Linked DNA regions of Anolis sagrei. The protein of the gene in region 1 purifies or fractionates together with the protein of each later gene. This does not show direct contact. Links are inferred from orthologs where the notes say so. Each region holds a gene or a part of one and is shown on either strand. Other genes may lie near its edges.

Evidence for each region. Proteins that work in one complex are often made in the same cells at the same time.
Region 2: the proteins of CDH2 (region 1) and CTNND1 purify together in Homo sapiens (affinity purification with western blotting; 6 studies listed by BioGRID and IntAct, with this or other methods). This does not show direct contact. The link is inferred for Anolis sagrei from reciprocal best matches to the Homo sapiens genes CDH2 and CTNND1.

What each region holds. Positions count from the first base shown.
Region 1 is NC_090024.1:57,239,949-57,247,589, reverse strand, and holds the start of CDH2 (cadherin-2), read right to left. Parts: upstream 3,011-7,641; 5' UTR 2,389-3,010; coding exon 2,305-2,388; intron 1-2,304. UniProt on the Homo sapiens protein: Calcium-dependent cell adhesion protein; preferentially mediates homotypic cell-cell adhesion by dimerization with a CDH2 chain from another cell. Cadherins may thus contribute to the sorting of heterogeneous cell types.
Region 2 is NC_090021.1:234,377,104-234,384,731, forward strand, and holds the start of CTNND1 (catenin delta-1), read left to right. Parts: upstream 1-4,625; 5' UTR 4,626-5,215; intron 5,216-7,628. UniProt on the Homo sapiens protein: Key regulator of cell-cell adhesion that associates with and regulates the cell adhesion properties of both C-, E- and N-cadherins, being critical for their surface stability.

The DNA of each region.
Region 1 (7,641 bases):
CTTGATAATCTGGGATATAGGACTGTGTGGAGGGGGCCCGAGTCCACACTCAGATAATGTGGGATTTCCTGACCTTCATATTCAGGGATATAGGGCTGTGTGGAGGGGCCCTAAGTGTACACTCAGATAATGTGGGATTTCCTGACCCTGATGTTCTGGGATATAGGACTGTGTGGAAGGGCCATGAGTTCACACTCAGATAATGTGGGATTTCCTGCCTTGATGTTCTGGGATATAGGACTGTGTGGAAGGGCCCTGAGTCCATACTCAGATAATGTGGGATTTCCTGCCTTGATATTCTGGCATATAAAGCTGCGTGAAGGGCCCTGAGTCCACATTCAGATAATGTGGGATTTCCTGACCTTGATGTTCTGGGATATAGGACTGTGTGGAGAGGCCCTGAGTCCACACTCAGATAATGTGGGATTTTTTGCCTTGATATTCTGTGATATAGGGCTGTGTGGAAGGGGCCTGAGTCCACACTCAGATGTGGGATTTCCTGCCTTGATATAGGACTGTGTGGAAGGGCCCACAGTTGCAGACTCAGGCAAGCAGTGGCCATGTTTGTTTACTGGACAAGAACAAGAAATCCTGGGGCAGTTGGCAATTCTTTCTGAATTGCTGTGTATAGCTCCCCTCTAAACACGAGTTCCCTTGGGCAAGGAGCTTTTGCCATGCCTCGCTCCAAAATGGAGACCATAATGATATGAATTGGTCTCCTTGCCCAATCTTAACTAGGTTTGACCCAAGATTAAATGGGGGAATCTGTTGGCTTTGGGATGTGTAGGCCCCGCTTTCTGCTATGGCGACGGCCCTCCTTTGGCGCCCCCTGTTGGGCGCGCGAGAGGAAAGGCCTGGAAACAGAGAGAGAGAGAGGCAGGGAGGGAAGGGGCGCGCGCTCGCCCGCCCCAATGGAAATCCCCGCCGCGGGAGGAGGAGGAGGAGGAGGAGGAGGAGAGAGAGCAGCAAGCAGGAGGCGAGCGGGGGAGGCTGATTAAATTCTTCCCGGGAAGGGATTAACGGGCCAGGCAAAGGCTCAGCCCCGCCGCCGCTCTTCTGCTCCAGGCCCGAGGAAAGGGCCGCTCCGGGGAGCACTTCTTCCCCCGCCCAAAAGGGGCAGCCGTGGGTGCAGCTCTACACTGTAGAAGTAATGCAGTTTGACCCCGCTTTGGACTGCTAAGGCTCAATGCTGCGGAAGCAAGGTAGTCTTTAGTCTCCTCTGCCAAAGGAGGAGTGCTGCTGCCTCGCCAAACTACAACTCCCATGGTGCCACAGCACTTAAAGTAGGGTCATACTGCGCGGATTCCACGATTCTCGTGGCAGCGTCCCGGAGAATGTGTTGGAGCCAAAGGAGAGAAGTAACGTCCCCCACGGAGCATGGGAATAGTGTGCCTGGAGACCCCTCACACCCAGGGGAGCTCTCCCCTGAGTGGGTCCGTCCCGCGTGGATTTAAAGTGGATTCAATCTCTACTGTGATGAAGTCCATAGTCACTTAAGAGACCCCGAGTCACACTTCTCTTTCTTGCAAAGGTTTTCCAGCCTCGAGCAACTCACGCGAGGACACTGCGTGGGTGCCACTACCTGGCTGGCTGCTCTCCAGGAGGGGAAGGGGCCCGACCTGCCCGAGGGAACTCTGCGTGGCCTCTTCGACCCCTTTCCCACGCTCCTTCGTAATGGCACCGTGAGCTCCCCACTTCTTTCCATCCCCACCCCACTTTCCACTGTGGAGTGGAAAGGCAAAGGGTCTTTCCACTCCACGCGAGGAAGACCCCCTCCCTTTCGGCGCGCCAACTTCCCGCCGTAACCCTTTGCGGGCAGAGGATGCGTCTACACTGTGGCACGAACGCAGTTTAGCTCCCAGGGCTCATTGCTATGGAGGAGTACTTTGCACTGCTCGGTAGAGAGGGCGAAAGACCTCGTGAAACTACAACTCCCATGACTCCACAGCCTTAAAGTGGCCACAAACTGCAGAACTACCTCTATTATGGTGATGAGCATCCACCTGCTCCTCAAGGACAGAAGAGAGGGATCCTCTCTCTCTATTTCTCTCTCTGTCTCCATCTCCATGCGAACCAAAGGCAGCCTGGGAGGGTCTGCTCCCTCCAGTCCCCAACTCTCCCCCATTGTTCCCCCTCGGATCCGTCCCCAGCCAAGCAAGCAAGGAAGCAAGCAGGCCCGGCTTCGCCTGCGGGGCAACGGGGGTCCGCCACCGCCCTTCGCCGGGAGATGGCCAAGAACAAAAGCGCCCCGAGCCCGCTCCTTCTTCCCTTCCTCCCTCCCTCCCTTCCCTTCCCCTTCTTTACCTGCTGCAAGGCCGCCAGCACCATCAAGAGAAGCGGCGGCAGGATCCTCCGCCTCGGCGGCGCGGCTCCCGCTATCCGGCACATGGAGGCGAGGGAGAGGAGGGGAGAGGGACCCACGGAGGAGGGAGGAAAAGTCCACGGGGCGAGGGTCTTCCTTCCTTCGGGTGATGGAGTCTCCTCCCGGCACTTCGAGGGGGGCCTTATTCCACGCACAAAAGGCGGCGCAGCAGGAGGAGGAGGAGGAGGGCCGAGGAAGGAGATCAACACAGGCGCTGCTGGGTATATTCCACGGGCGATAATAAGATCCTTTCTCCTTGCTCTTCTTCCTTCTGCAGAGCGACGAGCTGGCTTCCTTTTTTTCCTCCCTCCCTCCCTTCTTCCCTCCTTTTCAGTGCGCCTTGGCGCTGCTGCCTCTCCGGCACCGGCTCTGCTGCTGTTTCTGCTGCATGCTTGCCTCCGTCTCCACTTCCTCGCCTCGCTTCCTTCCCCTCCTCCGTGGGTAGAAAGGATAACAATACCGTAGCAAATAGCAGCAGCCCCTGCTTCTTCTTCTTCTCTCTCGGTGTGTGTGTCTCTCTCTCTGCTGCTGCTGCCTCCTCCGTGCGCGCGCCTTGTGCGCCGCCGCGGCTGGCCTTGTGCGCGCGCCTCGCCTTGTGCTTGGCGGCTGCTGGCAGCTTCACCACCTCTTTTCCTCCTCCTCCTCCTCTTCCTCCTCCTCACTGTCTCTCTCTTTCTTTCTCTCTCTCTCTCTCTCTTTGCCGGCCGCACGGACCAATGGGAAAACACCGGCTCCAGCTCAGTCCCAAGCCCTTTTGGACGAAGCAAACGCCCACCATTTATTTATTTTGTTGTTATTGTTGTTTTCTTTGCTCCCCCTGAGCAAAAAGGGTGGGAGAATGGAGGAGTTTATCTTGAGTCCTGAAAGAAAGAGAAAAAGAGGGTCCCAACAAAGCCCCTCCATATATACATACACACACACCCGACTTTTATTCTTTCTTTGTGTGTTAGAAGCAATGACTTGGGTGTTAGGAACAATGACTCCACCTAACCCTATAATGTTAGTTTCAACACAACACAGGGCTGGGAGTATGGAGGGGTTTATCTTGAGCCCTGAAAGAAAGAGAAAAAAGAGGGTCCCAACAAAGCCCCTCCATACATACATACATACACCCTCCCCACACACCCGACTTTTATTCTTTCTTTGTGTGCTGGAAGCAATGACTCGAGTGTTAGGAACAAGACTCCACCTAACCCTATAATGTTAGTTTCAAAACACAACACAGGGCTGGGAGTATGGAGGGGTTTATCTTGAGCCCTGAAAGAAAGAGAGAAAGAGGGTCCCAACAAAGCCCCTCCATACATACACACACTCTCCCCACATATATACACACCCGACTTTTATTCTTTCTTTGTGTGTTAGGAACAATGACTCCACCTAACCCTATAATGTCAGTTTCAACACAACACATGTAGTAGGACTTCTAAGCGTGGACAAAGCCACGAAAGAGAGGGACCAACCCATCAAAGCCCCCTACCCATACACACACACACACACACGGCTTTTCCTCCTTTGTGCTTTTTTTCTCCCTTTGTGTTGGACAGAAACAGAATAGCTTCTTATCCCAACCCTATCCTGCCAGTTTCAACACAGGTGAGGGCAGAGCCATGAAAGAGAAATGGGGAGAAAGAAAAAAAACGTGGGTCTGTGGAGCCGACCCCTCCCACATACATACACACCGGACTTTTCTTTGTGTTGGACAGGAAAAAGGATAGCTGCGCCAACTGAGCCTAACCCTATATAGTGTCAGGTGTAAGATAACACATCCTCGTCTGTGAGGTGTGGGCAAGAAGAAAAAGAGGGAAGGAATGTGGGTCTGGGGGACTGAACCCACCAAAGCCCCCTCCCCATACAGATAGACGTCCACATTGTTGTTTTTTTCTTTTTCTTTGCTGGAAACCTTGACTTATCCCAACCCTATAATGTTAGGACTTTGAGGTGATGGGAATAGACAAGTCCTTATTATTTGACGGGGGGGGGGGGGGGGTTCTCCACACAAGTCCACACCCAACATTTCTTTATTTCTTTGTGCTGGACAAGAAACCATTTAAATCCACAAGCAAAAGTACAGTCTAACGGGAAGGAAGAAATCATGAAAATGAAAAAAAAAATATGGCTACCAATATTTAAAAAACTCTAAAATCTGGGCAATAAAGAAAGAGTAACACTCAAAAAGCAGGGGATTTTCCAGACATGAATCAATCAGGGCCAGCTAACACCTCCCAACAAAGGATTTATGTATTTATTTATTTACTATACTTGTATACTGCCTTTCTCAGCCTTAGCGGTGACTCAAGGCGGTTTACAACAAGTCAGTACACATAACAACTAAATGCAGATTGAACATTAAAACAGTATAAAACCACAATAGAAGCAATAAAAATAATAAAAACCAGTGTCATTATCATCAGCGTCTCCTAGTTAAATAACGTTGTCCAAGTTCCATTGTCGAGTGATTCCATTTCCTGTGTTAGTTACTCTGCATTTGTAAACGCTTGCTCACATAACCATGTCTTAACTTGTCTCAGAAACATTAAGAGTGAGGGAGCCAATCTAATCTCCTTAGGGAGTGTGTTCCATAGTCGAGGGGCCACCACAGAGAAGGCCCTGTCACTCTTCCCCGCCAAACGTACTTGTGAAGAGGGCGGGATTGCAAGCAGGGCCTCCCCAGACGATCCTAAAGTCCTAGATGATTCATAAGGGGAGATGCGTTCTGGCAGGTAAATTGGGCCAGAACCCCAAGGCTTTGAAGCTGCAAGGCCATTCAATGCTAAAATGATCAAGGGCCTAGAGAACAAGCCCTATGAAGAGCGGCTTAAAGAGCTGGGCATGTTTAGCCTGAAGAAGAGAAGCTGTGAGGAGATATGATGACCATGTATAAATAAAGGAGACTAGGACACAGAACAATGGATTCAAACTACAGGAAAGGAGATTCCACCTGAACATGAGGAAGAACTTCCTGACTGTGAGAGCTGTTCAGCAGTGGAACTCTCTGCCTGGAGTGTGGTGGAGGCTGCTTTGGAGGCTTTTAAGCAGAGGCTGAATGGAGGGTGCTTTCAGTGTGATTTTCTTGCTTCTTGGCAGGGGGTTGGACTGGATGGCCCACAAGGTCTCTTCCAACTCTTTGATTCTATGATGAATCAAGATGGCCAATTGCAACATTCACATTTTCCTGAAGCAGACAAGAGTTCTTTCTCTCACCGTGGACATTCCACAGATATATAAACCTCACTTGCCTTGTTTCCAACCTCTGATGATGCCTGCCATAGATGTGGGTGAAATGTCAGGAGAGAATGCTTCTGGAACATGACCTTACAGCCCAGAAAACTCACAGCAACCCAAACAATGACTTGTTTACTCTAACCTATAGTGTCAGTTTCAACATATCACACAGGTCTTGGAAGGGTAGGGAATAAACAAGTCCTTTTTGCTATTTGTCGGGGTGGGAACCTCTGCCTGAAGCCTCATCCATACATATAATAATTTCTGTTCATTTACAAATACATGCCCAACTTATTTTTCTTTTGTGTGGCGGACAGAACCAGAATGACTTCTCCCAACCATATAGTTGCAAACATAACACAAAGACTTGTGGGTATTCTGGGCTGTATGGCCATGTTTCAGAAGCATTCTCTCTTGATGTTTTGCCCACATCTATGGCACGCATCCTCAGAGGTCGAAGAGTTTGTTGGAAACAAGACAAGTGGGGTTTTATATATCTGTGGGAATGTCCAGGGTGGGAGAAAGAACTCCTGTCTGCTTGAGGCAAGGGCAAATGTTGCAATTGACCACCTTGATTAACACTGAATGGGCTTGCAGCTTCAAAGCATGGCTGTTTCCTGCCTGGGGGGAATCCTCTGTTGGGAGGTGATTAGCTGTCCCTGATTGTTTCCTGTCTGGAATTACCCAGTTTTTTTTAGTGTTGCTCTTTGTATACTGTTCTGTCTGTAGACAGTCCACATTTCTCAGGCGTATAGCAGGGTTGGGAGGACAATGGCTATATAAACAAGCACCTTGGTCTCCCTACTGATGTCCCGGTCCTCAAACACTTTGTGCTCCATTTGGAAAAATGCTGCAGAGCTCAGGCGGTGTTGTATTTCAGTGTCAGTGTTGATTTTTGTGGAGAGGTGGCTGCCAAGGTAGCGGAAATGGTCAACAGTTTCTAATGTTACACTATTCAGTTGTATTACTGGCATTGGAGCGGGATTGGCTGGTGACTGCTGGAAGAGCACTTTGGTTTCCTCAACATTGAAAGGCCAAGCTTCTCTTGTGCTCCTGCAAAGGTGTTTAGAGTGGCTTGTAGGTCTTCTGAATGCACACATATGACCATGTCATCAGCATATTGGAGTTATATAACAGATGTTGTTGTGACCTTGGTTTTGGCTTTCATTCTGCTGAGGTTAAATAGCTTGCCATCTGTCTGATAGATGATTTCCACTCTGGTGGGAAGCTTCCCATCAACAAGATGAAGTATCATAACGATCGTTGGGGCAATAACACAACCCTGTTTGACACCTGATTCCACCTTAAATAATACATTGAGGGCGTGGGGAGGTGGAGGGGGAATAAGTGGGTGAGCGAAGTCAGCTTTTCAATACTTGAAGGGACCTCGCCTCCACAGTTTGAAACTGCATTATATGGTCAATGTGTACTCATATAATGTAGCTTATTGAGCTGCTAGACCAGCTAAAGCCCCCTCCCCACAAAAACACGCCAATCCACGCCTGGATTCGATGTATATTGGAATCAGAATGACTTCTCCCAATGCTGTAGAGCCAGTTGCAAGATAAACATACGCAGGATTTGGAGGTGGTGGGAATAAACAAGTCCCTTTTTATTATCTGAGGGGGTGAGAATGCTGGGCTAATGTGAGAAATGCCTATGCAAAGTGGGGAAAATAAGGGAAGGGGGGAAGAAGGGAGGTGTAATTACTTAGGCAATCCCCGATCCCTCATAGTTCGAGGATGATTGTCTTTCAGATCTGGTGTCTTGGCGGTGGGTCCATAGGTAGCTGTGCAGCCCTCTTCTTGATCCGCATTTTCTCCCACAGTAAGGACCTCAGTTTCCAGACAGAAGGCAGTCCCGGTCAGGGTTGGCTTGATGCACCTTCCTCTTGGCATGTTTCTCTCTTTCTCCCTACATTTGTGCCTCTTCGAATTCTGCAGCACTGCTGGTCACAGCTGACCTCCAGTTAGAGCGCTCAAGGGCCAGGGCTTCCCAGTTCTTGGTGTCTATGCCGCAGTTTTTGAGGTTGGCTTTGAGCCCATCTTTAAATCTCT
Region 2 (7,628 bases), on another chromosome or scaffold:
ATTGCAGATCAATCTTTTCCAGCAAGTGTATTCAGATGTATTGTCGAAGGCTTTCATGGCTGGAGGATGCTTGCCACAGATGTAGGCGAAATGTCAGGAGAGAATGCTTCTAGAACATGGCCATACAGCCCGAAAACCCTAAAACAACCCAGGGTATTCAGATGGTTTTTAAATTACAAGTGTTAAAATGCTGACTTTAATATGTATGCTTTTAAAACGGATTGTGTACTTTAATTGGTATTAATGTTTTTAACTCATAAGGAGAGGTGGGCAAGAAATAATAATAAAAATGAGAATAATAATTCTGTTAAATGTTCTTGAAGTATACATATTGCCAGTTTTATAGGAAAAGTTGTATAACATTGAATGTTACAGAAATTATGCACATGCAGTGATCAATCCTGAAGCTCAGTTACCCACCAGTTTCAATGCCACACTTACAATAAGAGAATCTCAAAATACTGGGATCTGCAAAGATACATTTCAGGAAACTTTTTATCACAGGGTTGCTGTGAGTTTCGGAAGTTCCAGAAGCATTCTCTCCTGATGTTTCACCCACATCTATGGCAAGCATCCTCAGATGCTTTTTATCACCACCAACAAGCCTTTTGTAAAACGAATGGGTTTTAATAGCTCTTTCAAGAGGATAACGTTCCCAGAAACTTTGCATTACAAGAGGGACAGCTCACAACAATACAATGCTATTGGGAAAATGCATTTTATCTCCCAGCGACTTTCAGGGTTACAGCTGAGCAATCAAGAGGGAACAATGAAGGGTGGGGAAAGATGATATACTGTACTCACCCTTGCTATTCGAAAGTCCTGATACAGTGCTTTAATCCTGTTAACCCTGGTTTGTGATGACAGCTTTCCTAGCTTATATTACAGGAATGTACAAAGTTCATGCTAAAGTGGTGAAATGAGCTCCAAATGCAATTAAAATTAGGATGTCTTCTCAAGCTGTCCTCGGTAAAAGTTATATAAATAATTATTATTAAATAACTGGACAAAATTGAACAAAAGTGAGTCGAAGTGGGCATACATGTCACCCTTGAATCCAAGCCACCCACAATATGGCTATAAGCCTCTTCTCAGTAGACTTAAATCAAGGAAAACTTTCATGAGAACCACCACTCCTCTAAACATTTCTCCAGCAACAAGAAGAATGCTCTTCCTCAGTTATAACTTTTGGTAGCCTGACCATATTTTGTTGTTTGGCCATATGTGCTCTACTTTTCATCCGTGAAACATTGGGAGGATATGGTGTTATGGTCTGAGTGTTGGGCTAGGACTCCAGGAAACCAGAGTTTGAATCCCTGCTCAGCTGTAGCAATCCATTGGGTGATCTTGGGCCTCAGAGAAAGGCAAAAGCAAACTTGACCAAGAAAAATGTACAATAGAGTTGCCCAAGTAGAAACAAACCGGAAGCCATGTAACAACCTGAAAGCAAAAATATGTATATCTCAAGCTTTCTTTTCAAATGACCAAGGCACAAAAAACCTTGATGGTGTTCCATTTTGAATTACCAGGTTGTTGTTTACTTTCAAGGTGTTTCCAACTCCCTGAAAGGGAACCCACCATGGGGCTTTCCCAGCAAGAGTCATTCAGCGGGGGTTTGCCATTGTCTTCCTCGGAGGTTATACCCAAAGTGACCTAGTGGGTTTCTGTGGCGACACACAGAAAACAGAACACCACAGTGCTCCTACTTCCTGTACTTGCCCATAAATTTAGACAACAAGATGATATTTCGTGTTTTATAAATGCAAAATTAAAATTACCTGATACCAAAACAAAGAATATGAACAGAAATAAAAGAAGAACATAAAAAAGAGGATAGGTCTCCTGCAACTTAGCAAAGGTCAAGGTAAAGGTTTTCTTCTGACATTCAGTCCAGTAGTGTCCGACTCAGGGGGTTGGTGCTCGTCTCCATTTCTAAGCCGAAGAGCCGGCATTGTCCGTAGACACCTCCAAGGTCATGTGACCTGCATGACTGCATGGAGTGCGGTTACCTTCCCGCTGGAGCAGTACCTATTGACCTTTTCACATTTGCATGTTTTTGAACTGCTAGGTTGGGAGAAGCTGGGACTGACAGCAGAAGCTCATGCTGCTCCACAGATTTGAACCTGCAACCTTTCGGTCAACAAGTTTAGCAGCTCAGCAGTTTAACCCACTATGCCACTGGGGGCTCCAACATATTGCATATAAGAAGGTGCTTCAGCATGCATAACTTGCATGACAAAAACATGGGCTAAAAAATCCTGTGCAACTATTGAAGTTGCAACACTTTTGTTTTCCTTTGTATCTGTAAGCCCTATATAGCTGAAGAACCTCCTATGAAATGTATGGAGTCACCATTAATCGATGGGTGACAAACACTGTTCATTCTTGGGAGCCAAAATGAAAAATATCTCAGCAAGTATTCCAAATATACTTGTCTCATTACTGACTATATATCTATCTGTCTATATATCAATAGAAAAGTGGTGTGGGGAAGGTGGGGAAGGTAAATTGCTCATTGTAATCTTGAATATATTTTCATAATAAGATGCAAAATAAAGCCTGCCAGTTGCTGTCCATTAACAATGCTTCTCAATTCTAATCAAGACTTGATTGCACATCACAAATATGCTGCACGATGCTGTCTCTAAATCTGAATGCATTTATAAAAGTAATAATGTAAAGGCTGTAGAAATCTAAACTTATGTTCCTTTTGTTACAGGCAGTGTAGCATCCTCGTTTCTTTCCTTCCTAAAATCAAGGATACAAAGGAATAAAAATGTGGTGGTCCTGTAAGAAAGCCAGAATAAATAAACATTGGGATTAAAATTAATAGGATGTTAGTTCGTATTTTAAAAGCTGGGCTCAAATGAAATCAGAATTAGTATTGTTGGGGATTAATAATAACAACAACAACAATAATAATGATTTTGTGATATGAAATCCAGAATATATATCTCGTTTGCTGTGTCATACTGTGTTTTTGTGTCAGTGGCGTAGTGGGTTAAACCACTGAGCTGCAAAACTTGTTGACTGAAAGGTCGCAGGTTTGAATCCAGGGAGTGGCGTGAGCTTCCGCTGTCAGCCCCAGTTTCTGCCAATCTAGCAGTTCAAAAACATGCAAATGTGAGTAGATTAATAGGTACCACTCTGGCGGGAAGGTGACAGCACTCCATGCAGTCATGCCGGCCACATGATCTTGGAGGTGTCTACGGACAATGCCAGCTCTTCAGCTTAGAAATGGAGATGAGCACCAACCTCCAGAGTCGGGCATGACTGGACTTAATGTCAGGGGACAACCTTTACCTATAATAATAATAATAATACCTATAATATTTCTGGGATACAGGGTTGTCCGGAAGGGCCCTGGGTTATCTGAATCCACACAGATGTAGTGTTTACTGCCTTGATATTCTGGGATATAGGGCTGTGTGGAAGGGCCGGGTGTCTATGCTTGATCTACACTGTAGAAAGGATGCAGTTTGACACCAACTACAACTGTTGTGGCTTAATGCTATGGAAGTTGTAGCTTGGTGGGGCACCCCAGTTTTTGGCTGAGCAGGTGAGAAGCCTTGCAACACTACTAACCCCGGGATTCCATAGCAATGAGCCATGGCAGTCAAAGTGGTGTCGAACTGCATTAATTCTAGTGTAGCTAGCTACACAGTCAGAAGAACTTCCTGACTGTGAGAGCTGTTCGGCAGTGGAACTCCCTGCCCCAGAGTGTGGTGGAGGCTCCTTCTTTGAAGGCTTTTAAGCAGAGGCTGGATGGCCATCTGTCGGGGGTGCTTTGAATGCCATTTTTGTGCTTCTTGGCAGAGGGTTGGACTGGATGGCCCACGAGGTCTTTTCCAATTCTATGATTCTATGGCTCCTACAGTTCATGGCTGTGGAAAGGAGATTCCACCTGAACATTAGGAAGAACTTCCTGACTGTGAGACCTGTTCAGCAGCGGAACTCTCTGCCCTGGAGTGTGGTGGAGGCTCCTTCTTTGGAGGCTTTTGAGCAGAGGCTGGATGGCCATCTGTCAGGAGTGCTTTGAATACAATTTTCCTGCTTCTTGGCAAAAGGGGTTGGACTGGATGGCCCACGAGATCTCTTCCAACTCTGGGATTCTGTAATTCTAAGAACTTCCTGACTGTAAGAGCTGTTCAACAGTGGAACTCTCTGCCCCGGAGTGTGGTGGAGGCTCCTTTTAAACAGTGGCTGGATGGCCATCTGTCAGGGGTGCGTTGAATGCAATTTTCCGGCTTCTTGGCAGAAAGGGGTTGGACTGGTTGGCCCAGCTCTATCATTCTCTGATTCTACCCCTGAATGGGAAGAAACGACACCCATTCCCCATTGAAAGAAGTTTTCCTTCCTTTGGGATTTGCCAGGAACATAGATGTCTTTTGTTTTACAGCCTTTGCAGAAAGAAGTTGCCCCTTGCCATTCCCCCTTCTTTCCTTTTTCTTTTCTGGGTGAGTCCTGTCCCATTTCCCTCTCTCCCTTCCTCCCCCCCTCAAATGCTACAATGGTATCTCCTATTGGACGGCGGGCTCCCTGATTGATGCCTGCTTCCCATTGGAGCCGGGCGGGAGCTGACATCACTCCGGGAAAGAGGGGGGTCCGGTCCTCCCTCCCCTCCCCTCCCTCCCCTCCCTCTTTGCCTCGCCTTTGGCTGGGCGCAACTTCCATTTTAGGTGTTGGAGCCGAGCGAGGGAGGGAGGGAAGGAAGAAGGAAGGGGGAGAAGCAAAGAAAGAAAGAGAGCAAGCCAGCCAGGAGAGAAAAGTCCCGCAGGAAGAGGAGGAGGAGGAGGAGGAAGAGGAGCAGGCGGGGAGTCCTACATTACCTCCCCCCCTCCATTCCATTGTTTTTTTTCTCTCTCTTCCTTCTCTTTTAAGGAGTGGGGCGCTTTAAATTCTTTGTTAGGCAACTGCACGCGCGCGGGTCTTGCAAAGGCAAGCCCAGTCCAAGGGAAGTTGTCAAGAGAGGGAGAGGGAGCGCGAGACAACGGGAGCGCGCGCGCGCGCGAGAGAGAGCAGAGTTGGTGGCTCTCTGCGAAGAAAGGCAGCCTGGAAAACTCAAGACACACTCCTTTCTCTCTCTCTTGTTTCGAAACCTTAAGAAAGTTCCAACTCGATTCCTAAGCAGAAAAGGAAGGAAGGAAAGGAGAATAATAATTGGTCAAGGAAGACTAGAAGCAAGGAAGAGTTGGAGGAAGAGAAGGAAGCAAAGGTAAGCCAAGCGCCGAAGGGGAGGAGGGGGAAGTGCAAAGCCAACTCTGGCTGGATCTGCTCCAGCATAGAACTGCACCGGGTTGGAACTGCATTCCATGTTGAGTGTAGACCAAGGCAAGGGCAAACTTGGCCCCTCCAGGTGTTTTGGACTACAACTCCCGCAATTCCTAACAGCCGGTAGGCTGTTAGGAATTGCGGGAGTTGTAGTCCAAAACTCCTGGAGGGCCCAGGTTTGCTAAAAGGCATCAAGCTGAAATGGTATAAAGGGGGTGAAGTCTTGGCCAGCTTTTCAATAGAATCGTAAGAGTTGGAAAAGACCTCGTGGGGCATCCAGTCCAACCCCTTTCTGCCAAGAAGCAGGAAAATCACATTCAGAGCTCCCCAAACAGATGGCCATCCAGCTTCTGTTTAAAAGACTTCAAAGAAGGAGCCTCCACCACACTCCGGGGTAGAGAGTTCCACTGCTGAACAGCAGAGTGCATCTACATTGTGGAATGAATGCACTTCGAAACTACTTTCTTTGCCATGGTTCCTAAGACTGGTTGTTTCACCAAGGTCTTCACTCTTCTCTGCCAAGGAGGGCCACTCCCCAAACCTGGAGCCCCAATAGGTGGTGCCAAACTGTGTCCATTCCCCAGTGTAGATGCATGCACACAAAAGAAAGAGACGGTGCTGGTGGCTGAGCCTCCCTTTGGAGGGCGTGGGCCTCTTGGCCTCAGGCGAAGGGATGTGTGGGTCGCTCTCAGGGTCCTGGGGTGGAGCTTGGCTCACTGCATTGTGTCTTCTACCAACTTGCTTTGCGTCCCAAGCTTGGGAGTTTGGCTTAAGGTTTCTTAGAGCTGCCCCTCCTTGGTGGCCCATTGAGCTGAATGGCAAAGAGAGACCTGGCCTTAGGAGTCTCTAGTGCAGGCATGGGCCAATTTGGGCCCTCCAGGTGTTTTGGACTTCAACTCCCATCATTCCTAACAGCCTCAGGCCCCTTCCTTTTCCCCCTCGGCTGCTTAAAGGGCCTGAGTACAGGAATTGTAACAGTTGAAGTCCAAAACACCTGGAGGGCCCAAGTTCGCCTGCTCTAGTTAAAGGAGGGGTCATCTGCTGTGATTAATCTGGAGTTTATGTATCTCTTTAGTGTGTGTATGTGTATGTGTATTGCAGAATTAATGCAGTTTGACACCGCTTTAACTGCCATGGCTCAGTGCAACAGAATCCAAGGAGTTGTAGTTTGGTGTGGCACAAACATTGCATGGCAGAGAAGGCAGAAGACGCTTGTAAAACTACACATCCCACAACCCCATGACATTGGGCTGTAATGGCAGTGAAAGCCGTTTCAAATGGCATTCGATGAGCCCCTTGCAAAACTACACATCTCATGATCCCATAGCATTGGGCCATAATCCTATCGGCATTCAGTGCATCCCAGGATTGTGCCTTGAATCGTGGGAAGCCCTGGCAGCCTGGACTTATCTTGAGTCGTAGGGCCCTTCCGCAGAACCCTATATCCCAGAATATCAAGGTAGAAAATCCCACATTATCTGAGTGTGGACTCAGATAACCCAGTTCAAAGCAGATATTGTGGGATTTTCTGCCTTGATATTCTGGGATATAGTGCCGTGTGGAAAGGCCCTTATTTAGCTTCAAACATCTCTGTCCTGGAAAAGGTCCTTGTCTAGCATTCATCTGTATCTTTCTTGCCTGTGAGATCCACCCTGGATTGAGCTGTCTCTACTGATGTCCATCCAGTTTGTCTTCCTACTACCTCCCTAATGAAGGCTGTGTCTTCATTAGGGCACAGACCTGTCTTTGTTAAACTCCTGTTCAGTATGATGTGCTAATAAGGTCTGTGAATCTTTTCCCGGTGTTTGGAGGGTTAGGAGGTCCAGCTTGGTACAGAAAAAGCAGTCCCAGTTGATCCTGGATCCTATGGAAGATGTTCCTGCCAGACTAAGATACAAAGAGCAAGGGGACAATTGTCACAGCCTTTGCGTTCGTTCTACCACATAATGGTAGCAAATGGACAGAATTCCAAAAGGAGGGGAGAATTTAGAAGGCAGCTGTTGGAGGAGCCGGCTGCATTCCTGGACTGGCTCCTCCGTGCCATTTTGTGCCTTCTCTTGTTCCTCCGAGGTAGATAATGCTGTGGAATTGCGGTCATAACTCTCTCACTCTCCCAGGGCCATACCAAGCCCCTTACAAAACAGCTTGGCTGTCTCCCTCCGGAGCATGAACACAAAGGCACTTCAAAAAGGAGCAGGGGAGGGGTTTCATACCTTCGGGGTCTCACCACAGCACAGTGTGTGGTGGGCCAGTTCCGGCAGTCACCCGCCCGGCAGTATAATAATGTTTTCTGAAATGCTAGAGATTCTGCATTTCTGCCTGTGTGAAAGAAACAATCTCCTCCCTTCACACAAAGG